Oryctolagus cuniculus: one gene and its partners. The protein of the gene in region 2 interacts with the protein of the main gene of each other region in a pairwise test. Links are inferred from orthologs where the notes say so. Each region holds a gene or a part of one and is shown on either strand. Other genes may lie near its edges. The genes, in order: YAE1, VIM, PNMA5, KIAA0408, FABP4, NOD2 and KAT7.

Evidence for each region.
Region 1: the proteins of VIM (region 2) and YAE1 interact in a two-hybrid assay, tested with the Homo sapiens proteins (2 studies listed by BioGRID and IntAct). The link is inferred for Oryctolagus cuniculus from reciprocal best matches to the Homo sapiens genes VIM and YAE1.
Region 3: the proteins of VIM (region 2) and PNMA5 interact in binary tests that used the Homo sapiens proteins (3 or more experiments, as listed by UniProt). The link is inferred for Oryctolagus cuniculus from reciprocal best matches to the Homo sapiens genes VIM and PNMA5.
Region 4: the proteins of VIM (region 2) and KIAA0408 interact in binary tests that used the Homo sapiens proteins (3 or more experiments, as listed by UniProt). The link is inferred for Oryctolagus cuniculus from reciprocal best matches to the Homo sapiens genes VIM and KIAA0408.
Region 5: the proteins of VIM (region 2) and FABP4 interact in a two-hybrid assay, tested with the Homo sapiens proteins (2 studies listed by BioGRID and IntAct). The link is inferred for Oryctolagus cuniculus from reciprocal best matches to the Homo sapiens genes VIM and FABP4.
Region 6: the proteins of VIM (region 2) and NOD2 interact in binary tests that used the Homo sapiens proteins (3 or more experiments, as listed by UniProt). The link is inferred for Oryctolagus cuniculus from reciprocal best matches to the Homo sapiens genes VIM and NOD2.
Region 7: the proteins of VIM (region 2) and KAT7 interact in binary tests that used the Homo sapiens proteins (3 or more experiments, as listed by UniProt). The link is inferred for Oryctolagus cuniculus from reciprocal best matches to the Homo sapiens genes VIM and KAT7.

What each region holds. Positions count from the first base shown.
Region 1 is NC_091447.1:29,676,221-29,680,369, reverse strand, and holds the start of YAE1 (protein YAE1 homolog), read right to left. Parts: upstream 2,801-4,149; 5' UTR 2,733-2,800; coding exon 2,604-2,732; intron 604-2,603; coding exon 482-603; intron 1-481. UniProt on the Homo sapiens protein: The complex LTO1:YAE1 functions as a target specific adapter that probably recruits apo-ABCE1 to the cytosolic iron-sulfur protein assembly (CIA) complex machinery. May be required for biogenesis of the large ribosomal subunit and initiation of translation.
Region 2 is NC_091444.1:43,365,578-43,369,632, forward strand, and holds the start of VIM (vimentin), read left to right. Parts: upstream 1-1,255; 5' UTR 1,256-4,055. UniProt on the Homo sapiens protein: Vimentins are class-III intermediate filaments found in various non-epithelial cells, especially mesenchymal cells. Vimentin is attached to the nucleus, endoplasmic reticulum, and mitochondria, either laterally or terminally.
Region 3 is NC_091453.1:131,406,284-131,410,404, forward strand, and holds the start of PNMA5 (paraneoplastic antigen-like protein 5), read right to left. Parts: upstream 2,801-4,121; 5' UTR 2,673-2,800; intron 477-2,672; 5' UTR 335-476; intron 1-334.
Region 4 is NC_091436.1:42,223,268-42,226,767, forward strand, and holds part of KIAA0408 (uncharacterized protein KIAA0408 homolog), read left to right. Parts: coding exon 1-1,040; intron 1,041-3,500.
Region 5 is NC_091437.1:106,978,249-106,982,374, forward strand, and holds the start of FABP4 (fatty acid-binding protein, adipocyte), read right to left. Parts: upstream 2,801-4,126; 5' UTR 2,496-2,800; coding exon 2,423-2,495; intron 1-2,422.
Region 6 is NC_091449.1:34,258,672-34,262,171, reverse strand, and holds part of NOD2 (nucleotide-binding oligomerization domain-containing protein 2), read right to left. Parts: intron 1,966-3,500; coding exon 150-1,965; intron 1-149. UniProt on the Homo sapiens protein: Pattern recognition receptor (PRR) that detects bacterial peptidoglycan fragments and other danger signals and plays an important role in gastrointestinal immunity.
Region 7 is NC_091448.1:25,797,124-25,801,354, reverse strand, and holds the start of KAT7 (histone acetyltransferase KAT7), read right to left. Parts: upstream 2,801-4,231; 5' UTR 2,613-2,800; coding exon 2,598-2,612; intron 2,543-2,597; exon of another isoform or gene 2,121-2,542; coding exon of another isoform or gene 2,072-2,120; intron 1-2,071. UniProt on the Homo sapiens protein: Catalytic subunit of histone acetyltransferase HBO1 complexes, which specifically mediate acetylation of histone H3 at 'Lys-14' (H3K14ac), thereby regulating various processes, such as gene transcription, protein ubiquitination, immune regulation, stem cell pluripotent and self-renewal maintenance and embryonic development.

The DNA of each region.
Region 1 (4,149 bases), on a different chromosome or scaffold from region 2:
TGTCAGGTCTTAGCTCCATCTGATCATTTGGTTCTGCCATATGCTGTTACTGCCCTGGCTTCCCGACAGGTATTCAATGTTAAGGACTACAATACATGGAATCATTTTACCTTTATTACTCACTACAATTTCCATCTACTTCTAGTTTAGAGGTCTGTCATATTGGGTTCTGCCAAATGTGCAAGTACTAAAAGTTTTATTTAAAGCCTGAAGATCTTGTAATTAGAGACTGGCAGTAATTCTGGTAGCAAAGAGTACACACCCTCTTACTGTTTCCATGCCCAAAAAAGGGACAACAGCTGGCTCACATATTAAAATGGATGAGCTGATAATGATTTTTACTCTTTGAAGGCAACATTCTATGTTTTTCCACACTCTTGTGTATTCAACAGCAGAAAGAAGCACTTTAAATGTTTATTTTTAATATTCATAAAAATCATCCTGTAATATTAAAGATTCAGCATTTAAATTTCTGAATTACCTCAGTGTTCCTCTGAGTTCTCCATAGTTTACAATGATTGCTGCACCTTCTTTATAGCCTTGATTGAAGCCCTGTTGAAGAGCAACTGCTTTGCCAGCATCGATTCCTTCTCTATAGCCTTCCTAAAAATAAGCAATGAACAACTACAGTTGTAACTAATACCAAGTGAACCATATGTAGGCTTTTCTAGAAAGGCACAGACCCAATTTAGAAAACTGATGAAACTGGCTTTTACTGCATTCTTGAAAATAATATGGTATAGCCCCACAAGCAATGCAGGTTATGTTCCTCATAAAAATTTATTACCGGTTTATTGTTCCTTATCCCACTTTTGAAGTGTGTTCTCACCCAGTTTTTAACACCTCTGTTTTAGCAATGTCTTCACAGAAAGGAAACATGGAAACTTACATGTCTGGCCCTCTGGCAACTGAGTGGAAAGGTGTGAGTGGGTGAGGAGACAGAACAAAGTAAGGAAAGGCAAAACTGTTTTAGAAGGAAAGTGAGAAGCCTGGTTTTAGAAATTTTGCTTGATCCTGAAATCCAAGTAAATTCTCTGTGGACAGAAACTTTGTTCTGCATGTCCCAAGTATGTCACAGTACTCAAAAGATGCTTATTATTGGGGCCAGCACTGTGGAAAAGGGGGTAAAGTGGCTGCCTGCAGTGCTGGCATTCCATACAGGCTCTGGTTTGAGTCCTCGCTGCTCCACTTCCGATCCAGCTCTCTGCTATGGCCTGGGAAAGCAGTAGAAGATGGCCCAAGACCTTGGGACCCTGCACTGGGAGGAAGCTCCTGGCTCCTGGCTTCAGATTGGCCCAGCTCCAGCTGATGGGGCTTTTTGGGGAGTGATCCAGCAGATGGGAGACCTCTCTCTCTCTGCTCTGTAACTGTAACTTTGTCTTTCAAGTAAATAAATAAATTCTGAGAGAGAGAGAGAAAGAGAGAGATGTGGCAGTATTGACTGGTCCAGCCTTAGCGTCACATAAAACTTTTTGTAACTGACAACGTGGTTGCTGAACTAAGCAAATATTGTTTTGCTGAAACATTAATTTGGGGCAGATCCCCAATACAGCTTTAGGAGCAATTTAATGGCTGGCAAATATAGTAAGTGGAAGCAACCCCCACCATTTAGTCTTCACCCAGTACTAAGCTCTGAGTACTCCATCTGGAAATTACGCTTAGACTCAACAAATAAAATTAGACATGAATAATTCACATCCAACAAATAAGAAGAAAATTGGTTTTAATATTCCCTTACTTGGTCATCAGTATTCCATCTTAGCTTTCTCCTACTGCCTTTTTTTTTTTTTTTAATATTTACTTGTTTGTTTGAAACGCAAAATTACAGAGATGCAGGGGCAGAGAGAGATCTTCCATCAGCTGGTTCATTCCCAAATGGCTGCAACTGCTGGAGCTGAGCTGATCCGAAGCCAGGAGCTTTTTCTGGGTCTCCCACGTGGGTGCAGGGGCCCAAGGACCTGGGACATCTTCTACTGCTTTCCCAGGCCACGGCAGAGAGCTGCTCAGAAGTGGAGCAGCCGGGACTCGAATCAACTCCCATATGGGATTCGGGCACTGCAGGAGGTGGCTTTACCCGCTATGCCACAGCCCCGACCCCTCTCCTACTGCCTTTAACATTGTAAAGTTCACTTTTTTCGTGTATCTTGGTTAAAACACTCCTAACTCTGGGCTCCCCACCCACTCAAGCTGCCCGTGGAAGCCTGAATGCGCGTCCTTTGACAGCCATAATCAGCAGTCAAGTAATCACTGTATTGGTATGTCTCTCCCCCACCCACTTCCCTGTGATCATCATCAGACAGCAATCGCTTCCAAGTGTGGACAACATGTGTTTTGGTGGGCGTCCCGCTTCTCCAACGCCCTCCCGCAAGCGCTCAAACAACGCGTCTCTGGGGTTCACCCGCTTCCAAGCAACCCACTGGGAAATCCTGGCGGGACGCGGGGCGCACCGCGTGGCAAAGGGTAAGGACGGCGGCGCTAGCCAGACTGGGACCACTGGGACCACGGTGGGCCCGGCTTCTTCACAAACTCGGGGCTCCGCTCCACCACAGCCCGGCACCCCCCGGGGTCCCCGCACCCTTCCCACCCCCCTCCCCCGGCTTTACTTTCACTCGTTTCTGCATGTGACTCCGCCATTCCCGCTGTACCAGGAGCGACTCGTCAGCTTCCTCATCAAACACGTCCCCCTCCTCGGCCGGGCTCTGGACCGAGGGGGTAGCCCGAACCCACGACATCACCGAGATGGCTACGGAGCCGCAGGCAACAGGAAACACCCGCGACTCCTTCCGGTGTGAGGGGCGGGACGAAGACTGCGCTCCTGGCGCTCAGGGCGGGTGCGCGTGCGCCGAGGCGATCCGTCGTGGTTGCGGGCTGTCCAGCCTGACGTCCAGAGCTTTTGGACTCGCGGACTTTGGGACTAAGTCAGTTAACACAGTGTGTCCGTGTGCACCTTGATTCCTTCCTCGGCTGGGGCGTGACCTTGATCAGACCCCGCATTCCTGTCGTAGACTGCAGTGTTCTGGGTGTGGGAGAGGCTCCTTTTGTAAAATCACTCAAGGCGGTTGAGCCAGTACTGCCCAAAGACTGTCTCAGAATCTCAGCGTGTTCAGGGGACGTGACAACCTGACACGGATTGATTGTTAGGAGCTTGGAGCAAAGAGCAAAAGAGTCAGAGAGTGAACTACTGCGGCCCATTTGAGATCAATAGGAAATAGAAAGGTTGCCTTTGCCATCGATACATCTTCCTTGATTCTCAGTATCCTTCGCTGCCTTCCACTCTTGCTCACGTGCGCTAAATGCAAACTGTGATCTTGGCGAGGGCGGGAACTTGTCTGCCCCAGCACCAGCAGGTTCTGACACTGCAGGTGAAAGCACCCCAGTGGCATCCCGTTTTGCCTTTGTTTGTGTGGGTAAATGAGTCCTGTGACAGTCGTGGTTTGTTTGTCTTACCTTTTCTTGAATACCTGTGTGTCTGGATACATTAGTGAATAAAACAGATAAAAGTTCCTAGCCCTTTGGATTTTATTCCTGTAGAATTTGCAGAGCACACACAGCAAACAAATATGAGTAACTTAGGTAGTTTGAAGATTATAAATAATAAATGTTATGAAACAAATTTAAAACAAGTAAAGTAAAGGGAATCCTGAGTGTGTGTGTGTGTGGGGGGGCGAGTGGATGGTGCAGGCTACAGATTTAAATTTTAGAATTTTGCATCTCACAAATATATAACCTGTAAAAGGCATATATTAAGTAAACTCTTAAAAATGTATTTGTTAATTAGAAACAAAATGGCAATAAAGGAATCAATAAAAACAATTGAATAACGTTGACTAGCTGAGCGCATTTAGCCTAGTGCGTGAGATGCTAGCCTCCTGCATTGGAGTGCCTTCATTAGAAGCCAGCCTCTCACTTTGTTTGGAGTGCCTGAGTTTGATGTGCAGCTCTGACTCCTGACTCCAGCTTCCTGCTAATGCAGACCCTGGGAAGCAGTGGTGATAGCGCAAGTGGGTTCCTGCTGCTCACATGGGAGACTTTGATTGCCTTCCCAGCTCCCAACTTTGTCCAGCTCCAGCCTAGATTATCACTGGTATTTTGGGAAGTGAAGCAGTGCCTAGGAGCTCCCCCTCTTTGTCTATCTCTCAAATAAAATTA
Region 2 (4,055 bases):
ATTCAGCTAGGATCCTCAATCTCCTCTGCTGCAAACTTTGTTTCCTTCATGGTCTTTATTAAAACGTGCCTCTGTTTCGCCTGTTCCTTTATTCGATTGTCATCTGGCTGTACCCCATATGCATGCGTGCAGACTCCACATTCCAAAAGGGCTTAGACTATGCCTACCTTTTTCACTCTCCCCGGTGTCTAACAGAGTGGTTGGTACACGGTACATATTCAGTAAACGTGTCCTGAGTAAATGAGTGAAGGCTGCAGATTGTAATATCCTATAAAATGCAACCACATCTAAAGTGACTAGCACAGTGCTTAAACATAAGAATCATCAGTAGATATTAGCCCTCAACTCTTTTCTCCCACAGATTATCCATGCATTGATTCCTACCTTCCACAAATGTCCCCAGTGCTTTCCCAGCCACTGGATACACAGTGGTGACCAAAAGAGAAACAGATCCCTCCACCCCTAATGAAGGGATGAGCAATTCCCTTTGGCACACCATAGAATCTTAACGAAGTTTTTTTTTTTTTACTTTTATTTAATGAATATAAATTTCCAAAGTACAGCTTATGGATTACAATGGCTCCCCCCCCCATAACGTCCCTCCCACCTGCAACCCTCCCCTTTCCCTCTCCCTCTCCCCTTCCATTCACATCAAGATTCATTTTCAATTCTCTTTATATATAGATCAGTTTAGCATATATTAAGTAAAGATTTCAACAGTTTGCACCCACATAGAAACACAAAGTGAAAAATACTGTTTGAGTACTAGTTATAGCATTAAATCACAATGTACAGTACATTAAGGACAGAGATCCTACATGAGGAGTAAGTGCACAGTGACTCCTGTTGTTGACTTAACAAATTGACACTCTTGTTTATGGCTTCAGTAATCACCCTAGGCTCTTGTCATGAGTTGCCAAGGCTATGGAAGCCTTTTGAGTTCACCAACTCTGATCATATTTAGACAAGGTCGTAGTCAAAGTGGAAGTTCTCTCCTCCCTTCAGAGAAAGGTACCTCCTTCTTTGATGACCTGTTCTTTTCACTGGAATCTCACTCGCAGAGATCTTTCATTTAGGAAGTTTTTAAGAAAAAGGAATTACAGCCCAAAGACAGATGCATTTGTAAGCTGGAAGAATGGAAGCCAATCGCAGACAGCAATCTAACAGACGAGTGGACACAGGAAGCAAGGGGACATGTACTCACTGGAACTGAGCAATCCAAGAGTAGGGAAGTGGCAATGATGATTACTTTGCTGGGATGTTCCAAAGAGACAGGAAAGTTGGAAAGAGAAGCTGCTGTGGTTGGTGGGGTTTAGGGCGTGAGATAAGCTAAGACCAATTTTGGGTGTGATGCCTCTGAAGAGACAGAGCAGAATCTGGGTGACAATGATGAACTCACAAAGTATGGACTTGGAGCGCAGGTAGAAAGGAATCTCCCTGCTGATCTAATATGAATCATTGACACAACCTAACATAAAACATGACATTCTCTGTGTCTGCCAATGTACTCCGAGGGAAATTGCTCCTACGCCAAAGGATCTTTGCTAATTTCAGTCCCCTCAGTTCCAGGGACACAGTTGGTCCCTAAATAGTGTTTATGAATTGAATGCCTGATAGTATGAAAAATTTCAACACCAATCAAAGATAAATGACAAGTATATATTGGACTCAGAAAAGAGCCTCAATTTAAATTCTTGTCATCTCCTTCCACACCCCACTAGCTCTACAACAGGAGAAAACTGTGAGCTTGAGCCTTAGACCCCAAATTTGTGAACTGGAGAACCAAGTCTACATTGCAGGCTGCTGCAAGAGCATTAACTTAAATTAAATGCATGCACAATGCTTGCCATTCCGTAGACATAAAAATTAATGCACTTAGGGTATTGTTCATTAGTATCTTTATTATTGTGCCATTTAGGTTTTGCAACAGTTTTCACCCTCTCACTTCATCTACCTTCTTGCTTTCAACACTTCACCCAGACAGTCCTGCTGTGGCATAGCCACCATTCCCAAAGCCTCCACAGGCCACTAAGCTCCTGTGCACACGGCTGGCTGGGCTGTCAGTTCACATCAACCAGTCCAACTGACATCGCCAGAGCTTGCAAATTCCAAAATCACTGCTAGAACTCCAAATGTAGTCGTGTTTATGCCTGGCCTACAAATCATACCACCGTGTCCTTATTCATGCACCACTTGCATCATGCAATGTTTAAACCAGATTCATGATCCAGCACTCAAAAATACTTCTCAGATTTTTCTGGCAAAAAAAAAAAATACAAAAATTGAGAAATCTATGTCTGTGTACAGGTTGCTTTCAAAAGTTAACTAAGACCATAGATAATAGAGACAGCAGGATACATTATCAAGCTCAAGGATGTGAGTTCAGACATAACGAATCCTAACTGATGACTTCTTATTGAGGCATAGGGCTAGGCATGGATATGTTATCTCAGTGTGAATTCTTTCCAAAGTCTCCCGCATTCTACATGAGTGAGTGAAAGTGTTTCTGTAACTCTCATCTTTCAGCATTCTGCAGTCTACCTCCAATTATGGCGATTTCTCACAGGGAGGACAAATTGGGTACTGCACATGTGTATAGGTGTGTGTATATATCAGGGTGCCTAAAAATATTTGTGGAAAATAGAATTAAAAATCAGTTTATATTGGGGCAAAAAACTTGAAATTATGCACACAAAGAGTCTTCAGAATGTTCACAGGAAATGTACCTAGTGAAAAAATTTGCATGGATTTCAACATTTTCTGCACAAAAATAAACTTACCTTTTAATTCCACTTTCTGTGAACTTTCTGAAGTATCTTTGGTACTATATATATGTATATATATATATATATGCTTGACATATATTATATATAATTACATATACTACATGGGATATATAAATCTAACAGCTGTGGCCATACCCCCAGGCTTACCATAGCCCTGAGACTACAGAATGGTGACAGGCTAGAAAGAAGTAGCACCCCTAGAGGATGAAGAGGATGAAAGCCTGCCCCAGAACCACCACTGCCCTGCGGAATGTGCTGTGGGTGCAGGCGGGGCCCGTGGCCACACCACACCACAGCCTTGCCCTCATTTTCCATAGTGAGTCAGTCATCAAGTGGCCCCTGACCGCGCCACCGCATTGCACTGGGATCAGCATTTCACGCAGGGGGAAGGTCCAGCCTCTCCTCTCCCCAAAGGGAGGTGACTTGCCATTCAAAGGGTTGCAGGCAAACTTACAATGGTGACATTTGCTGAGCAGTGGCTTGAATAAAGGGCCCTCAGAAAGGCAAGACCTTAACGTGGAACATAGGCTAGTCCCAGGAATGCCCCTCAGCCTCCAGTGAATAAGGGAACAAAGGACAGCCACAGCAGGAGAGCTGGCCTTAGAGGGTCCTGTGGCAGGTCCTTGGCAGTGCCATTCACCAGGACTCACTGAGATGAGGTAAACTAAACATTGCTCAAAGAGGTTTGTACAAAAAAGGCTATGCTACACCCTTCAATTGCCACCACATGCTTTTTCTTAAATGCCAGGTGATTTCCAGTACCCGGTCCCCACCCAAAGAGGGTGCAGGAATCTGTTTCCTGTACAATCAATTTACAGAGGTTCTGCAGTTCACCGGTTCGGTACTCCCTAAGTATTCCAGATACTCCGACACCTGTGGTTCTTCAATTGCTGCTTCATCAAAAGAACACTGGCTTGCCTGTCCCTCCATCTCGTGTGTGTGTGTGTGTGTGTGTGTGTGAGAGAGAGAGAGAGAGAGAGACGACTCAATTCCACGTAACTAACAGTGAAACAATAGCCTCTGAGTTCAGCGGTTTCCCCAGAGAGGTTAAAGCGGCTACATCGGAACATTCCCTCCGTGTCCTGATCTCCAAGTTTTTTTTTGTCCTCTAGACAAAAGGCTTCCCCAGCTCCAAGTCCAATCCCACGAATTCCTCTGGAAAACAGGACCTGAGACATTTCCCGAACAATGCACTGGAACCCTGCACTATGCATCGCTAAAATTAACACATACATTCGGTCATTTGAGTTGTATAATTGCCTTTCACTT
Region 3 (4,121 bases), on a different chromosome or scaffold from region 2:
CTTGAAGAGCAACAGGTGATGTCACTATCCTCCAGCCAATGGAAATGTCCTAGCAGCAAGGGAGCTGGGAGAGTGAAGGGGAGATGGGGGTGAGGTGAGCAGCAAGGACTGAGTGCTGAAAAAACAAGTGCTTAAGGTTTCATATTGTGTAGCAGCTAGAATTAGGGGCAGAAAAGGGACCCAACGAAGGGTTCCCACTGTCCCGCTGCAGGAAACAGACAACTGTCACCCTAGGTGTGGCCCTACCCTGCAGAGTGTGTGGATCCTGGAAGGCAGCCTTTGTCCCCTTGTCCTTTGCCAGGGTCACAGAGGCTCACCTTCCAAAATAACTTACTTGACGACTTGGCAGTGTGGATTCCACTGGCCGTGTAGAGTTTGTGATTCTGATGTAATCAGGCACTCAGCTTGCTCTCCAGCTCTGTCCTGTCAGGCAGTTCCCGAACCAGGTTAGATGGATCAGGATCCCTTCACTGGATCTGTCCAAAGCAAGGCAGAGGTATTTCACTGTGGTTACGTCCCAAATGCCCTGCTCAGGATGTGCCAATTTTGAATCTGCTCACGAATACAAGAAACTGCTGCTCCACCCCCAGGGAAAAATCCCACCCACCAAGCCCCAAATCCCACCTCCACTCAAGCCACACCCCCAAGGCCAAGCTCTGCATCCACCTAAGCCTCACGCCTGCCATGTAACTGCGTCCACGCAAGCCCCACTCCTTGCACCAAACTCTGCGTCCACGCAAGCCCCACCCCTGCCGTCTAACTCTGCGTCCACGTAAGCCCCACCTCTGGTGCCAAACTCTGCGTCCACGCAAGCCCCACCCCTGCCGTCAAACTCTGCGTCCACGCAAGTTCCATCTCTGGTGCAACACTCTACGTCCATGCAAGTCCCACCTCTGCCGTCAAACTCTGCGTCCACGCAAGCCCCACCCCGGCGCAACACTCTGTGTCCACGCAAGCCCCACCCCTGCCGTCAAACTCTGCGTCCACGCAAGTCCCACCCCGGCGCAACACTCTGCGTCCACGCAAGCCCCACCCCTGCCGTCTAACTCTGCGTCCACGTAAGCCCCACCTCTGGCGCCAAACTCTGCGTCCACGCAAGTCCCACCCCGGCGCAACACTCTGCGTCCATGCAAGCCCCACCCCTGCCGTCTAACTCTGCGTCCACGTAAGCCCCACCTCTGGCGCCAAACTCTGCGTCCACACAAGTCCCACCCCGGCGCAACACTCTGCGTCCATGCAAGCTCCATCTCTGGTGCAACACTCTACGTCCATGCAAGTCCCACCTCTGCCGTCAAACTCTGCGTCCACGCAAGCCCCACCTCTGCCGTCTAATCTGCGTCCACGCAAGCCCCACCCCTGCCGTCTAATCTGCGTCCACGCAAGCCCCACCCCTGCCGTCAAACTCTGCGTCCACGCAAGTTCCATCTCTGGTGCAACACTCTACGTCCATGCAAGTCCCACCTCTGCCGTCAAACTCTGCGTCCACGCAAGCCCCACCCCGGCGCAACACTCTGCGTCCACACAAGCTCCACCCCTGCCGTCAAACTCTGCGTCCACGCAAGCCCCACCTCTGGCGCCAAACTCTGCGTCCACGCAAGTCCCACCCCGGCGCAACACTCTGCGTCCACGCAAGCCCCACCCCTGCCGTCAAACTCTGCGTCCACGCAAGTCCCACCCCGGCGCAACACTCTGCGTCCACGCAAGCCCCACCCCTGCCGTCTAACTCTGCGTCCACGTAAGCCCCACCTCTGGTGCCAAACTCTGCGTCCACGCAAGCCCCACCCCTGCCGTCAAACTCTGCGTCCACGCAAGTTCCATCTCTGGTGCAACACTCTACGTCCATGCAAGTCCCACCTCTGCCGTCAAACTCTGCGTCCACGCAAGCCCCACCCCGGCGCAACACTCTGCGTCCACGCAAGCCCCACCCCTGCCGTCAAACTCTGCGTCCACGCAAGTCCCACCCCGGCGCAACACTCTGCGTCCACGCAAGCCCCACCCCTGCCGTCTAACTCTGCGTCCACGTAAGCCCCACCTCTGGCGCCAAACTCTGCGTCCACGCAAGCGCCATTCCTGGCGCCAAAAGCCAACCTCTGAAGATCCACTGAACCGGCAAACTGCGTCTTGCGCAAGCGCCATTTCTGGCGCCAAAAGCCACTTTCACCAAGAGCCACTGAACCGCCAAACTCTGTGTCCATCCGAGTGTCATACACTCCGCCATTCATGTGCACGTCCTGCACCCACCCAAGTTCCTCACTTCCATTTCCCTGTACTCCTTTCCCCCACCTCATTATCTTTAACCTCCTGTACCCATCAGGCTGTCCCATTCACTCCTAACCTCACACACCCTTTCCACTACTCTGAGCAGGGACACATCTAGTCAGCAGAGGTAGCTAGAGGCTAGAACAGGAATGGCCAAAGCCACTTTCCCTCAAGGATAAGGGCCAGAACCAGTTGTCCTTACTGCTACGTCTGGGCAGGTTTGGGGTAGAATGGGCCCTCCTAAAGTTCTGAGGCCACTCATGATAACTGGAAATATCAGGGACCCCTAGGATTCTGCTTCCAGGGGAATCTAAGGCCACTGGCCCCTGGGACCTCATGGAGGTCAACCAGGATCATTGGAGGGAATCTGTTGTAACCTTGGTTCCCTTTTGTGCCCAAACCCAGCTCCTTACCTTCTGGGAATGCCTCCAGGCCACAGCGCCCGTGCAGCGTGGCCACTCTGCCGCCGCCACTGTACGGAATGAGCCGCGAGTTTGTGGCGGGAAAGAAATTGTCGGGTAAGCAACGGTCTTCAGCACCGCCCACTCGCAGATGCATCCCGGCAACGTCTACGGCCACGCCCACCCCCATCTCCACCTCCACCCCACTCCTGCAATAAAGGGGTTGTGCCCTGTCCACCGCACGTTTCTCCTCTGAGTCATGACTGGAGGGGGAACAGAGAATTCAAACCATACTGAGAACTGTTGCGTTGCAGAGTTGCTCACAGTCCAGCTTGTACGTGCTCAATAGAGGCCGACAGGACCACCACCTGTCACATCAGTCCCAGCAACCATTGCGGCTACTATGATAGGTGTCTCTCACCCATTGGACTGGGACTGGCTCTGACTTTCACCAGTGGCTCCTCCTGTTTGTGTATTCCAAGCTATGCACACAGGGCTATGTGCAAAGTATAGGTCCAGGTGCAAACTACAAGCTCGGTACCTACTAACTAACCAAACGTCTCTGTCCTTGTTAATTTTTATCCACTGTGTCCTAGGGGACGGCAAAAAATAAAAAATACAGCTACTACCTTCATTTTACAAATGCATGCAATTTTCAAGGCTCATTGAGATACAGGAAACTATCAAGATTTCATTCTCTCATTATTCTCGTGATTGCATGAGAATTACCCACGAGGTACCGAAACTTCTCTCTTTTCTTTCCCAAAGCAGGTTTCTTCCACAGAGGGAAGACTTAGCTGTTTTCCTTGGGGCTACTGGGGACCCTAAAGTCCTGTCCCAGCAAAGGGCACTGGTGGGACACTGGTAGCAGTTTACAAAGTGCACACACATTTCCCAGAGCAGGTGATAGTAGCGGTTCAAGTTGTGAGTCAGGAGGTCTTGGCAGAGCTCAGAGTCTGCAAAAGTACCAAAACTCTAGCGGCTATTGCAGTTCCCTGCCCATGCTTTGTGTAGCACTGCTCTGAGATTACCAGAGCCAGAAGTTGTAAGCTGACAGAACGTAAGTTTTGCTGTATTTGGTACGAATAACAGGCCTTTTTTAAAATCATATTTTAATGAAAATGTGAAAAGCAGAAAACTTTTAAAACTAAATGTCACCAAGTAAGATACATACAAATATTGCATTATTCTCCTTTAATTGAAAATTTTTCCTAGGTGAGACATGACACTGTAACCCAGACCCCTATACTGCGTACTTAACAAGAACATACTTTGGACTATCTCTTAAATTAATTTCCTTCTCCTTACTGGAGAAAATGATTACTTGGCGCTGCCACGTGGTCACAGACCAGACGGCTCTCCTTACAGCAGTCCACAGCACCCTCTGGATGACACCACCAGCTGCCCAGTCTCATACAGGCTGTGAGCAGAGCTGTCCTGAGCACCTCTGTACTTCATTCT
Region 4 (3,500 bases), on a different chromosome or scaffold from region 2:
AGCACATTTTAGACCACCACAGCTGGGTGACTCATGAGGGTCCAGGTGAATGCAACTGCAGTCCTCATTCCCTTTTAAGGCAACGTGAGACGCCTACATTGTGTCCAGATGAAGGGAAGACTTTGAAAGATGGCATATTTTCCTCTTTGGAATTAGAAGTGAAAATAGATAGCAAGCCTCCATGTAATGAAAATGTTGGTCTTAGCATGGGGTCATATGACACTGGGAAAGATGCCAAAAACAGCCCTCCTACTGTGTGGTTTCAGAAAACCTGCTCCACCCCCAATAAGTCAAAATATGAAAACATGATCCCAGATCCTCCTGCTCAATCTCATGCTGATCTTCATGTAAGTAATGACTGTAGCTCTGTGGTGATTCAGGGAAGTGGCCCACTTAGAAGTTTCAATGGTGGTTTTGAAAGGACAACAAGGAATGAAAAACTGGCAGCCAAGACTGATGAATTTAACAGAACTGTATTTAGAACAGATAGAAATTGTCGTGCAGTACAGCAAAGTCAAAGCTACTCAGAATCATCTGAGGATATTAAGCACTGTGATACCTTAACCACAAATCCAGGTAATATATCCAAAAGTGACAGTGTATCTGGTAGTCTGAAAACCAGTGCCCACATGCCTGTGCCTATGGGAAATGTGCCTGATAATTCAACCAAGAAACTCACAACTGGTCTTGTCAGACAAATGCCGGAACCCACAGGTCCTAGCAGTTATCGGAATATGCTCCATGAGCATGACTGGAAACCAAATAATTTGTCAGGCCGACCAAGGTCAGCTGATCCCAGGTCAAATTATGGTGTTGTGGAAAAGCTGCTGAAAACCTATGAGACATCAACAGGGTCTGCATTGCAAAATTCTAAGTGCTTCCAAGATCAATGGACCAAATGTAATTCTGATGTCGGTAGTGGTGACACATTAAGTCGGCATTTAAAAATGATCCAAATGGAACAAGAGTTTCAACGAAACCCAGCTATTTGCGGGGTACAGCAAGTGAAGCAAGTAATAGATCGGAAAAAGATAACAGAGGTGAGAAAGCAAAACAGCCTATGTTAATGGAACTGCATTGGTAGTTAGTGATGGCTCTGAGTTGAGTTTAGTTGCCCAACACATCAGTAGAACATAGGCACAAGTTTTGGCATCTTCTGGGCTTCTTGAATATTTGTTGTTTCTTTCCTGAAAAATACTCAGGCTGCATATTTATTGATTCGTAGAATTTTAACCTTTTAAAGCTTTCTTTATTCAAAAATAATTTTCAGTTATTAAGTATGATTAGCTCATATTGAGTAAGTCACATGATTTTTAATATGGGTAAATATTTAAAAATAGTGACCTGTAGAATCCTATCTCTGGAATTAAAAGAGAATATATGAAATAAGATCTTTTTAAATATATATTCTTAGCATGAAAGTTGCTAAAGAAGCATGAGGTTTTTAAGTAAACTGTTATTCTCTTTATCTGTTTACAAGAGTATAACTTTTGTTAACTATAGGAAAAAAGAGATCAAAGAAATTTGTATTTACAAGAATCCCTTTCTATGAATTACAATTTTTAAGAACAACTTACATACAGTTAACAGCTTACATATAGCTAACAGTAACAAATACTGTTATTGTTAGCCAATCCTTCTAAAATTCTAGTTTTACATAATGCAGTGTGTATTCAGCATGGTTTTAAGCTATGATGGTTTCCTCCTTCTGTTGTCAAAAATATTTTTATGTCCTTTTGAGCCCCGCAAAATCATATTTTCCACCACTTTATCAGAAACTTTCCCTGTTTTTATGAGGTACAAATAATTATACTGTTTTTATAGTTCTCTCTTCTCTAGTTGAGCTCATAAATAGCTAGAGATGAAAAATTCAAACATATACAGTAACCAACCAAAATTCTCGTTAACTAACAAGGAATAACCCTAAATGTCTCCCTGTTCTGCATTGATTGAGGATTTGGAAGTCCTCTATTAGAGATCACTAGAAGTACTTTTGTTGGTTTTCCTCTGTAAGTACCCAACTCCAAAGAGAGAAAAAAAGGAAATGCAGGTTACTATAAGGCTTTGACTAAAAATTAGTAGACATCAAGCCCCTCCTCACTGCCCATCTCAGATGCAAGGACATGGATTGGCTAAGAAAGTCACTTAGAACCAAGAGTATAAAATGTATCATGGAAGCCTTTAAAATTTTTTTTAATTGATAAGGAATGCTTTTCTTCCACTGAAATGAAAGGAAAGAAAAGAAAGAAAGAGAAGGAAAACATTTTCATTTGTCAGAAGATACCCGATATAAACAGCAACTCTTTATTTGCAGTTAGAATGAAGGTACATGAAAAGTACTTGGGGGTGGGTGTTGTGGTGCAACAGACTAAGCTGTAGCTTGCAATACTTACATTCCATTTTCAAAGGGCTGGTTTCAAGCCCCTGCTCCTAAGGCTTCCAACCCAGTTTCCTGCTTCTGCACCTGAGAGACAGCAGATGATGGCCCAAGTATTAGGGTCACCCATGCTGGAGACCTGGATGGAGTTTTTGTCTCTTGGCTTTGGTCTTGCCCAACCCTGGCTGTTGCAGCTATTTGGGGAGTGAACCAGCAGATACAACATCACTATCTTCTCTGTCTCTCCCTTTCTTTCTGTCACTCTGACTTTCACATAAATAAATCCATCACTTTGACTTGCAAATAAATAAATGAATATCTTAATAGAAACATCCAATGTGGTGCAGTGGTTAAGTTGCCACTTAGGAAACCCATATGAGAAGCCCTGGGATTGAGTCCCCTCTCCACATCTGATCCAGCGACCTGCTGATGTGCACTCTGGGAAGCTACAGATGATGGCTCAAGGACTTGAGTCCGTGGCACCCATGCACGGGACTTGGATGGAGTTCTGGGCTCTTGGTTTTGGCTTGACACTACCCCAGGTATTGCAGTTATCTGGGGAGTAAACCAATGGATGATAGATGGATCTCTTTCTCTAAAATTTTGAAATTTAAGAAAAAGTATACTAATGATCATTTTAACTTGAGAAATAGTGATGGTGTCCTTAATTTAAAAAAAGAGATAAATTATGAGATTTTTATGTCTTTTGCTTATGATCTCTAAGAAGTATGAACTAGACATAAATGAGCAGAAGTTTTTCTATAAGGCATTTTCATTTTTAAATAATACTAAATATCCTAATAATCCGGTAAGAGACATCTGTAATTCCATCCTATCAGTCATTTAACTTGAACTTTTGAATCCTGAGCTCATAACTATTTTTACAAAGACATCAACTGTATTGAAATTTGTCAGTGTGAATGAGATCCACAAGATTATCACATGTAATGATTTATATTAAAATTGAATTGCTTTGATTAAACATTCCAAGCCACAAATATTAGACAGATACCATCTTTAATTTTCAGTGCCTTTTCTTGGTTATAAGTAGGCCACATTGATCCCTTAGTTGGGATCTACAGTATATATAGTTTGCCATTAGTGCCTGTATAGTGAGATGAAT
Region 5 (4,126 bases), on a different chromosome or scaffold from region 2:
AACTCCTCAGGAGGTCTAGTGTTAGTTTTCAGCAAGAATATGCACACAGATGAAATCTCCAGGCCTATATGTATTTTTAAAAGGTGAGTGCTATCATTTTTTTTAATTCATGAAAGTTTGAGGCAATTTGACCATTCCTTCTTACATCTAAAAATTTTATATAAAAGTTCACAAAGAATTTTTAACAAAACATTTGGGCTAATACAGAGTTGTTCAGCTAAAAGATAATCTGTCATGAGTGTACAAAAACCGCGTTTCATGGCATTGCTGCCAAGGATAGCTTGCTGGGCTTCTTTCTAAATTGCTCCACTATGGAATGAAGGTTTTGGTTAATCTTTCTGAAAGCAAAATATTTCCTATAGTAACACCATTTTAGGTTGGTGATATCATTCCCAATAACTTATAGGAACTATTAAAGCAAGACCAGGCATCATGAAAACTTCAAAATTTAAGAAATCACTATTTTCCAGCCCTTGTCTCACTGTTGAGGAACAGTTATTTTTTCTCCATACTATCTGTTGAACTCTTTACTTAGTACAGGGTTAATCTTATGTATATAAAGTTAGTTGAAAATAGATCTTTGTAAAACAATAAGAATGGGAGTAGGAGAGGGAGGATGAAGAAAGGTGGGAGTGAGGACAGGAGGGAAGGTTGGGTGGGAAGAATCACTATGTTCCTAAGTTTGCATGAAGTTTGTATACTTTAAATAAAAGATTTCTTGATAATAAATAAATAACTATGAAAGTTAAAAAAGGTAAATTATTTTTTACTTAACAGTAGTTTAGAAACTGATTATTTGATTTCTAATCACCCAAACTGCCAATTCCTCTTTAAAAAAAAAGGAATATATTTTCCTGTGCAAGGTATGAGATGAACAATTTACAACCTGATATAAACAATGGGAACTTGCTGACCTTGCATGTTACGCAGAATTTATGATAATTGTAGATGTGTTGACTTTCTGACACGTGCACATAAATCCAAGCCATATTTTTGACTAAAGGTAACGAACAATTAGAAACAGGGACAAAATGGAGAGAAATATGGTGCAAAATAAGTAATACTGACGCTCCCATTTAACAAGCTGGAGAGTGACCCAGGTGGGAAGACAGGTTGCTTCAATAAGTCCCAGCTCTAACACATTAAATACTGGATACAACATCCAGTGTGACGCTCGAATGGCTGACCTTAGGAAAAACCATTCTCTCCTTGCTGACTGATGCAGGCAATGCCCGCTCTCTCAGCCTCAGCTGGAGCAGCTAATTTCATTCTGGAGGTATCTTATTATCTTTAACTATCATCAATCCTTTACGATTTAAAAACGTACTGTTATAAAAATTTAAATGTAACTATCAAAAGTGTAGACTATTTCTAAAAGTAACTACATGTTCCCAAATCCTTACTTTTCCATATTATGCATATTAATTAGTTTATTGAATCACAGATAACTAGCATTCTAGAAAGTTAGGTCTTTTTTACACTGAAGTCCCTGATGTCTCTCTCATCTGTAAACAGGAAAAATGCTAGCTTATATATAATGTCGGGGATGGTTTAAGTCTTTTGAGTTATAGGGATTATTAAATCTTAACCCCTACTAGAGATATTATTAAAATTCCCTCCTTGTTTGCTAACCCTGAATTTGACTGTATCATGCACAAGGGTAGGGGAAGAATGGTTTTTAAAGCAGAAGCTGCCTGAGTAAGAAATTGTCTCCCTAGTTTACCTCCATTTCTTCACCTCCTGAATGGATAGATGTGCAATGAAATGCTGGCAAGGTTAATAGTATGAAAACTTGAAGGGTTCTATTATCAAAGAGGAAGACTGTTACATATGTAATATTCTCCTTTTGAATTACCAATAATCCAATGGCATCCCATACCATTTGTATGCAAAGTTTTAAAGCCCTATGAGAAACACCTTGCTAATCATAAAACAATCATACATCTTAATACATTGACATTGAGACAATAATTTGCTAATGCACGTTTACTAAAAAAAATGCAAAGAAGGGAAATGTGCCTTCATTGTCAAATGGAAATTATTATATGCTAGGAAAGAAATATGTTTTTCTTTCCAAGTTATTGCAAATTCTATATGCAAAAGCGGATTTAAAAGCAGGCAAAGAGTCAACTAAGCTAAAGATACCCACATTGTGGAATTAGAGTCAAATCTTTTCATTTCTGTAGATCATAAGAATTTCATTTACACAAATTTTTTTCCCATAGAGTTTCAGCTTCAGGAAGTATTAGCTGTAGCTTTTGTTCAACACATCTCCAGAGAAAGATTCTCACCTGTTTCTTACATAACTTCTGTATAGAAAACAGCATCTCTGGCCAATGCTTCCAGAGTGAAAAACACGATAAACCACTTCCCCCCAGAGAAAATGTTATCAATCCAGTCATCCCTCAATGCATTCTCTTACCCACTTCTTTCATGTAATCGTCAAAGTTCTCACTGGAGACAAGTTTCCAGGTACCTACAAAAGCATCACACATTTTGAGCTTTCTAGGTTTATTCCTCCAGGTGAGAGAAGTGTAGCTTTCAGCAAGGTGCTGTGGCCCTCCAATGTTCAGACAACTTCTTTTTAAAGATGTTCAGAACATGTGATCTCCTGAACAGCCAATTGGGAACGATATCAGGTCATTTCCTCCTTTACCAGCCTCTGCATTTTTTCCTCTGAGTCATGTTTTTAATAGAAATTTCTCAACTTTGGTTCTCCCTGGCAAGTGGTCATTGGACTTAGAGTACAAATTATTTTTAACCATGAGCAGAACATTTTACATGCTGTTTCGACTATTTAATGCTTAATGCACTGAACTTCCCCCTATTATTTCCATACATATTTACCCCCGGGCAGAGGGGAACAATTACCTTGGGATGAACTTTGACATCCTTTTTTTTTTTTTTTTTTTTGTTAACATTGCTATTATGAGTTTCTTTCAAATTAAGGAATCTAAGAATTATGTTGGAAGTTCTTAAAACATTGCAAAGCCTCTTTGGGACAGGACTATCTCAGGAATTACTTATTAGAGCAAAGTAAATACTGGCATTTTAAACTACCTCAGGCCTCTAATTTCAAACCTTTCTATGAATAAAAGAGTATATCAGTTCATTCACTGGGAAACTGGACTCTAGATTTATTTAAATGATAATTTAACCTCACTCTATCTATCCCTTAAATGACGATGTGGTGTTGATTTCCAAAGATATCTTAAAACATAGGCTCCAATCCAAAATGCAGTCCTCACACTGAGAAAATTCATTCAGTTCTTGAACTGTATTATGAGCTCTGCATTAATCTACATCTCAACATTGTTGCTTTACTTGAAAGATCAGAAATGGGTCAGTTACGAGCTATCGATACCTTATCCTTCTTTGCATATCTCACTTGTGGGATTACTTTTCTATAGTAATCGTGGTTTTCAGTGTCCTCATCCTCTCATACCAGATGATGGAAGATATTCATATGTGCAAAAAACTTGCATGAACATACCTAGGCATTAGGGAAAAAAGAAACTAAAAAGTTGCAGAGGGATGAATCACTGTAAATCCGTTGAACAATATCTGCTGTTCCAACAGTCTCTCATTTGGGCAGGATAGCTTGTAACCAATGAGACTTTCTGTACAAATGTAAGGGACTAGAAAAGTAAAGTTAGTTTATAATACTGTTTTAATTGTTACATTTTTTCATGGCACAGTAACAATGTTCTTCCATTATGAACTATTGCATGGACACACAGACTGTGGTAAAGCTCTAGCCAGGGTAGGATAGCCATCAAGGACTCATCTGGTTCCTACTGAATAAGAACTTTCAGATGGAAAGGAAAGGAAAATAAGCAATCTCAATATCAGGATTATTTTGAGAATGTTTCAAATTAATAATGTTTTTCTTAAAAATATATACTGAGTCCTTACTTGTTTTCACTTCACCCCAGTTACAATAGCTATTATACAAAAATCAAAAAATAATAAATACTGGTGAGGATGTGGAGAAAAACATATCCTACTACCCTTTTGGTGGGAATTTAAATTAGTATAACCATTATAAAAGACAGTATGAAGATTCCTTAGAAATATGAAAATATATCTACCATATGACCCAGCCATTCTACTCCTGGGGATATAC
Region 6 (3,500 bases), on a different chromosome or scaffold from region 2:
AGTACAGCCCCGCATGGCAGAGACCTGACCGGGCTGCAGGGCTGGTGCTGAGTCTGCATTTCTGGAGCCCAGCTCAGCGCTCCCACACCTAACTTTGCCAGTGGCATTCCCCACCCCTTGCCAGAGCAACCAGACCCAGCGACACTCACTAGAGGGCCTTGCAAGCCCCGAGGCAAGGCAGCAGCTGCTCTACACCAATGTCACCCACGGAGTTGTGGTCCAGCTGCAGGGCCACAGGCCGCCGGAGGTGGCGCAGCACGAAGGCCAGGGCGGCACACTCAGCAGGGCCCACGCCACAAAACGTCAGCTTGAGGTGCTCAACATTCAGCCCGCGCACAGCCTCCTGGGCCAGCCGTTCCTCCTGCATCTCGTACAGGCTCCGGATGAGCCAGAGGAACCCGGGCATGGCGTGCATGCTCTTGGCCTCCCCCGGCACGGCTGGTGGGATGGACCGGAAGTGCTTGTGGAGGCTGCGGGCCAGACACCAGCGGGCACAGGCCCGGCGCCGGAGCAAGCTCCTCTCAGATGCCTGGCACGCAGCCAGCAGGTCCCGGTGCTCCCGGGACAACAGGCCAGCCAGGAAGGCTGCTGTGATCTGAAGGTTGTGCGGCTCAGTCTTCTGTAGCAAAGCCGCCACGGTGCTTTCCTTGTGCTCCGAGCCCTGGACGCACAGCCTGGGCAGCAGCCTGGACAGCGGCGAGCTGCCAGGCCTGCGACAGTTGAAGAGGTATCTGAGGGAGGCTGTTGGCACATCAGTGCTGAGTACCAAGTAGAAGGCAGCAAGAAAGCACTGGAAAGTAATGTGCAGGAATTCGAGGGGCGCTGTGCTTCCCGGCACGACTCCTTGGGCTTGCACCAGGAAGCCCAGAGAAATGTCATCAGGGTCAACCTGCGCTGCCTGGAGCTGCTGGGCTGAGAACACGTAGCAGCACATGCCCAGGCCCCAGAGAGCCAGTTGGCCGAGGCGCAGGAGGGTGGGGAGCCTTCCTTGAAGGAGGCTCGGCCCCAGGCCCTGGGAGGCTGAGTCTGGGAGGGAGGCATGCCGCAGGAAATGCTGCAAGATCAGCAGGTACATATCCGTGGTGGTCTTTGGGGACCCCCCGTCCTGCAGCAACAGTTCCTGGTGGCATTTAGACACCATCCACGAGAAGACAGGAAGGTGACACAAACCGTGCAGGGCTGAAGTTGTTTGGAGCAGGTGGATGAGGCGATCTGCCACCCCAGGCTCACGATGGCACTTCCTCAGGTACAGCTCGATGCCCTCCTCTGAGAAGCCCTTGAGGTTGAACTCAGTGCGGACATACTTCCTAAGGAACGCTGACACCGCATCCGGACGGCTGGTCAGCACCTTGCGGGCGTTCTTTAGGAGGTTGCCTTGCAGAAGGTTGAAGAGCAGAGTCTGGACAGACGTGGGGTCAGTTGGAGAGCAGTGACGCTCATGGTCCGTGAACTTGAACTTGAACTCATCAAAGCCGTCAAAGGTCAAGAGGATGCGGTCAGGGTGGTCCAGGAGGAACTGGAAGACATCCTGTTGGCCAACATCGGGCCAGCAGCAATGTTCAAAGAGCAGCGTCATTACAGACAGCGGTCTGGCCACACACTGCAGCTGCCGGCAGCTGAATGGGAAGACAAAGAGAAATTCCTGAAAGTCCTGCCCCGTGGCCCACAGCAAGTGCACCTGCTGTAGGAGTGTGCTCTTGCCACTGCCTGCCTCGCCCACCACGAGCACGGTGTCCGCATCTTCATTAAGGTGGCCGTTGGGGCTGAAGAGCTCCTCCAGGCCCAGGGCGGCGGGGCTCTTGTGCAGGGGTCCAGCCATGCCCACCTCGGTCCGGACCTCCAGGGTGTTCTCTGTGTATATGTCCTCCAGGCAGAGGTTCTCTGCTCCATCATAGGTGCTGAGGAAGCGAGACTGTGCAGCTACTATGGTCCGCAGCTTGGACATGTACTTCTTACACGCGGCAGCTAGAAAACAGAAGGAGAGGGAGATGCGGGTGGGGCCGTGGTGAAGAGGGCAGTTACTGGTGGGAGAGAAGACCTGCCGGGCACCTGTCCTGGCTCCTCTACTCACAAGCTGTGAGTTGGACTTGGAGGACGGTCGGGGAGCCTCCCTAAGCCAGGTTCTCTCCCCCTGGGAAGTGGAGAAATGGCGGCCATGACCTCCTAGTTTTTACATGAATAAATGGTGCTTAGCACAAGGTCCAACAAAAGCAAGTGCTTGAATGACAGCAGTGATCGCCATGGTCATTACTGACGTTGGGAGGCGCGCAGAGGGTTGCACCGGGTCGTGGGCTGTGGATGCCCATCTGGCCACACTGGCTGGGCAGCGTTACCCAGGGTCTTTCACCATACAGCCGCCATTGCTTCTTTCTAAAAAGACACAGGAGGCAGAAGAGCTTAGGAATCCAGTTTCAGGAGCCAGACACATCTGATTCTGAAACTTGGATTGATCCACCATCAACATGGACAAGCCACTTAGCCCTGCTGGGCTGCAATTTTCTTGTATGCAAAAATGGATAAAATTGACATCTTAAGAATTATTTCAGGAGACAATGAGATAAAAAGAGATTAGAAGAGTATCTGACACTTGATACACAATGAAACCTGGTTTTTTATTATTACTATCGTGAGTGAGGTAGGCGCAATGGTTCTCCACCCCACCACCACCCTCCCCCACCCCCACGCCCAGTGTCCACATGCTGACTCCTAGAACGGTGACTATGTGACTCTCCAAGGTAAGTGGAACTCTGCAGGGCGATGCAGTCAGAGACCTGGAAATGGGGACATGAGCCTGCGTCCTCTGGGTGCGCCTTCCTCTGGAAGGGCAGAGTCTCTGGTGCCTGGCTTGGGCACTTGGCCTAGACTCTATCCTGCCCACACTTCCCCACCGTGCTCATGCAGCTCTCTGCCTTTCCTTCATCATCCTGAAAACCGAAACTGAGCAAACCACTTCCTGAATCAGGGTTCAGTTCCCCTTTCAACAAATGGGGAAGTGCTGGTCCAGAGTCCCAGCTGGTTCACCCCATCACAGCCTCACTACCCCTACCTAAGCTCCAGCCCGTTTGTTCTTTTCCCTGAGGCCAACAAGTAACTTCCACAGTAAGGTCTTAGCTCCCCTAAGGACAAGGAGTCACTCAAAGAAGAGGCCCTGGGTCTGCACTGCCTTTCTGGTCCCCAGACTGAGGAATGGGTGGCTTTGTCTGCCTTCCACCCAGGAGCATAGGACCAATATCCCAATATACAAAGGTACTTCAAAAAGCTCATGCAAAATTGGAATTAAAAGGCAGTTTATTTTGGTACAACAAACCCTGAAATCCATGTATAAGGGGGCTCTCCAAAAAGTTCATGGAAATGTACACTATGAAAAAACTGGGGCCAGAGTCAAGCAGGTTAAGTGTGAAGGACAGCAGGTCAAGCCACTTCCTGCAAAGTCAGCATCACATATGAACACTGGTTCAAGTCCCAGCTGCTCCACTTCCAATCCAGCTCCATGCTAATGT
Region 7 (4,231 bases), on a different chromosome or scaffold from region 2:
AATAAAATATATATTTTAAAAAAAAAGCAGGATTTTAAAAATCATCTTTTCGGGACAGGCATTGTGGCATAACATGTAAAGCCATCACCTGCCATGCCGGCATCCCATATGGGCGCCAGTTCAAGTCCTGGCTGCTCCACTTCCAATCCAGCTCTCTCTTCTAATGGCCTGGGAAAGCACTGAAGGATTGCCCAACTGCTTGGTCCCTGCACCCACATGGGAGACCTAGAAGAAGTCTCTGTCTCCTGGCCCAGCCCAGCTGTGGCAGCCGTTTGGGGAGTGAACCAGAGGATGGAAGATATCTCTTTTTCTCTCTTTCTCTCTCTACATCTCTGTCTTTGAAATAATACATACATCTGTGGTGTAACAGGTAAGCTGCTGCCTGCAGTGCCGGCATCCCATATGGGCACTGGTTCGAGACCCAGCTGCTCCACTTCTGATCTGGCTCTCTCAGAGGAGGCTCCTGCCTCCTGGCTTCAGACTGGCCCAGCTCCAGCCATTACCACCGTTTGGGAAGTGAGCCAGTGGATGGAGGACCTCTCTTTCTGCCTCTGTCTCTCTCTAACTCTGCCTTTCAAATAAATGAATAAGTGTTTAAAAAAAGAAAGAATATTTGCTAAAAGCAATAAAAAATTTCAAACTACAAGTCCCGATTCTTTATTCAAAACCCTCAAGGCCAGCGGCTGTTGGAATTCATAATTTTTAAGATTTTAGGGAGCAGGCATTTGACCTAGAGGTTCAGCCTCTGGTTGGGATACCAGCATCCCTTACCACCGTGCCTCGTTCCAACTTCCTGCTAAGGCCCACTCTGAGAGGCAGCAGCTGATGGCTTAAGCAGTTGGGAGACCCGGATTGAGTTCCTCACTCCTTGCTTTAAGCCAGGAACAACCCTGGCTGTTTTGGGCATTCAAGGTGTGAACCAGCAGATGGGAGCTGTTTTTATCTTTCTTTCTCTGCCTCTCAAATAAGTTAATTTTTTTAAAGGAGAAATGTTTAAGATTTTATGAAAAGGAATACTTTGCATATAGCTTACAAATAACACCCCTAATCAAACACATTCATATTTCTACAGCAAAATACACAGTCACACTAAATGAGACACGAAAAGACCATGGGAAGCCTGACAGTTTAGGATAGGTTTGCTGCCAAACAAGTTATTGAAAAGCCTCTTGGAGAACACACTGTATTTGGGGATTGCAGAAGGGGCCTGGGGATCTACTGCAAGGCACCACTACCACTCCTGCATTTGGTCAGCCTTAACATGAGCACCACCTGCCAACCTAGGTGACTTTAGGGGACATTAAAAAAGCATTTAAAACAGAAGGCCTCTGGGGGTTAAAGACTTCAGCAGATTGAGCACGAATACCACCTAGTTTTCCAAAGATTTCAGGGTCACCTGTGGAGAAATGAGATGAATCAAAGTCCTGTAAGAATCAGAGGAAAGCGCCAAGATGAAGGGGAAACCCGAAGGCTCATCTCAGCCCAGTTACCCAGGGTCGGGAACCCCTGACCTCTGACCGCTCCTTCCTCGCCCAGCCCTGAGCTCAGCTCCTCTTTCTGGCTTTACAATCGGCTTCCCTTCTTCCCCAGAGCACATTTAATTGCTCCTTCACTTCCCGCCACGGCACTCTGTACCTTGAAGCAGAAAATGTACTACCTCCTTCAGTTCTTTACATACACGCTTTCCCCATCACACAGTAACACTGCTAAGTCAGAGATCACGCCTAATTGAGCCTGGAATCCCCAGCGATCAGCAGGTAGCAGGCAGGCGATGAACATTTGTTGAACTGAATCGTGTTTCTGTAGTTATGGCTCGGCCACCGCCCATTTCGAGGGGCTTGGGACACTCCCTTGAGACTTCCATGTGTTCCCTTGTAAAAAGAAGGGAAGGGGGAAGAGGGTGTTCCTAGGTGACCTCACAGTTCTAGAAAATTTTTGACTTTCGAACAGGATTTTCCAGCCACTACAGAACCGCAGATTGTGGCTAGAACGCAACAGGCCTGGGCGGGATCCCCTGGAGGGTGGGCGCTGTTTCTCCACCACCCAGTTCTCTGCTTTGTTGTGCCCCCACCTGGAAAGGAAAGAGATCTCCAAAACCCCGCCTCCACACCTATCAACATCCTCAACCGGAAGGGCGGGGATTCACGCCGCCCAATCGACGCCCTGCTAAGCCGCGCCCCCGCGGGACAGACTGCCAAGCCCGACCAATTAGGAGAAGAGGGATCGGTCGCTACAGCCAATTGGAGATTGCTAAGGCCGGGTCCAGACACCACCCCCGCATGCGGGGAGGTGACCGTTGGGCCCAAACAGGCGGTGTAACCAGCCAATCAATACGCTTCAAGACGTTCCAGTGACCAATTAACAATAAGAACGCCTTCGACCCAGGCAAGCAGAGGGCGGGAATAGTTGCAAGCATAGGCCGAGGCCAGGCTTGGGCCCACATTTTTCTGTTGGGTATGCACAGAGAGAGGATAGCTGAGTTAGGTTCGGGAGAACGGGAAGTTGGAACCTAGGCGCTGTGAGGCGTGGCCTACTGCGTCACGCTGCTCCCTCTACTGTCCTTAGAAACCCGCCATCTCTCCTCTCCCGTTTCTCACCTTCCTTCGCGGCATAGCCGGCGGCTGCGGCCCGACGGTTCCGATTCGGGCAGCGGCGGCAGCAGCAGGAACGGTGGCTCCGGCGGGCTCCGTGGCGGCCTCTGTAACAGTCCCAATCCTGCGGACGATCCCAAGTGCCTCCTGCCTTACAGCGTCTGGAGCCTTCTGCGCAGGCGCCGCGGGCTGAAGCGCTTTTTCCTTCACTTCCGGCTGGGGCTCACGTCATTTGACGTTACGGGCCAGAGAGGGTGCTGGGAGGGTCGCTCCTTTCGGTGAGGCTAGCAGGCGCCATTTTGGAGTTGGGCAGGAAGAGGCACCGAGAGTGGAAACCGGGGCCAGCCATTTTTAGTTAGGTGAGTGACGCCCTTTGTGGGCGTGGGTAGCCATTCTTGTTTGGGGCAGAAGCCTGACAATTGAAGTTAACGGTTCTCATCTTTACCTTGGGCAAAATTTCCCTACCCGGTCGTTTTAATTTCTGGATTCGAGGAAAGAAACCCCAGAATTCATCAGGTTGCTGAGATTTAACCCTTTCGTTGCTCATTTGCCTAAAGGACGTTTCCGTTTATCATTTAAAACTCTAAAGTTGGGAAGGGCTGTTTTGAACAAGGAACTTTGTGTTTTAAGAGCCGTTCTGTGTCTCAAAGAGGGTGGGAATAAGGGGCAGGAAAAAAGGAATACAGGGCGTCCGTCATCAGGAAGTTTCCTGTCTGGTAGAGGAGACTTTGTCCTTGCCCTTAGCGAACGGCAAGTAAGTTAGTCGTGGGAGACGGCAAAACCATTCTTGTGGAACTGTGATTCTAAAGAATTCCATTTAGCTGTGTGTGGAGCGCCCACCTCCTTCCCCCACTGTGCTCGGGTTTGCGAGCCCTGGGGGGGGGCCAGAGGTGAAAAATACGCCTTGGTGTCGGGGTGCTGTGCCAAAGTCGGAGAGACTCCTTGAACCCCACTGAGCCCAAATGACCTCTGGTCATTTAAAATAAAAAAGATTTACTTATTTATTTGAGAGGCAGAGTTACAGAGAGGCAGAGAGAGATCTTCCGTCCGCTGGTTCACTCCCAGATGGCAGGAGCTGTGTGGATCCAGAGCAAAGAGCCTCTTCGGGTCTCCCACGCGGGTGCAGGGGCCCAAGGACTTGGACCATCTTCTGCTTTCCCAGGACGGAGCAGAGAGCTGGATCAGACGTGGAGTATCCAGGACACGAATCAGCGCCCATATGGGATGTCAGCGCTGCAGACCACAGCCCTTGCCCCACCTCTGGTCATTTAGCATGAGCCAAAGTTGGGGGAGGGGAGAAAGGGTGGGAATATTTTTGTGTGTGAAGCTGAAGCCCAGAAAAGAATGGATATTTAAATAATAATGGGAGAGTCTAGGAAGAAGTTGGTCCAGGATATTAGGCTGGAAGAAGAGCCCTAAGAAAAGGCTGGTAAAGTGGAGACCTCCCTGGAGGAAGTCTTGAGAAGACCAAGGCTTGACCAAGAGCAACTGGGAGAAATCCAGACAGCCTCAGTCCCTAAGTTAGGATCCTGGACCCCAATATCCACGTGAGGCCAGCTAAGATGGAGATCCACCCCCTGAAGCAGGCAAAGGAATAAAGCAGCAGAAGACAAACACCTGACTGATGTGTTAAACAGAGC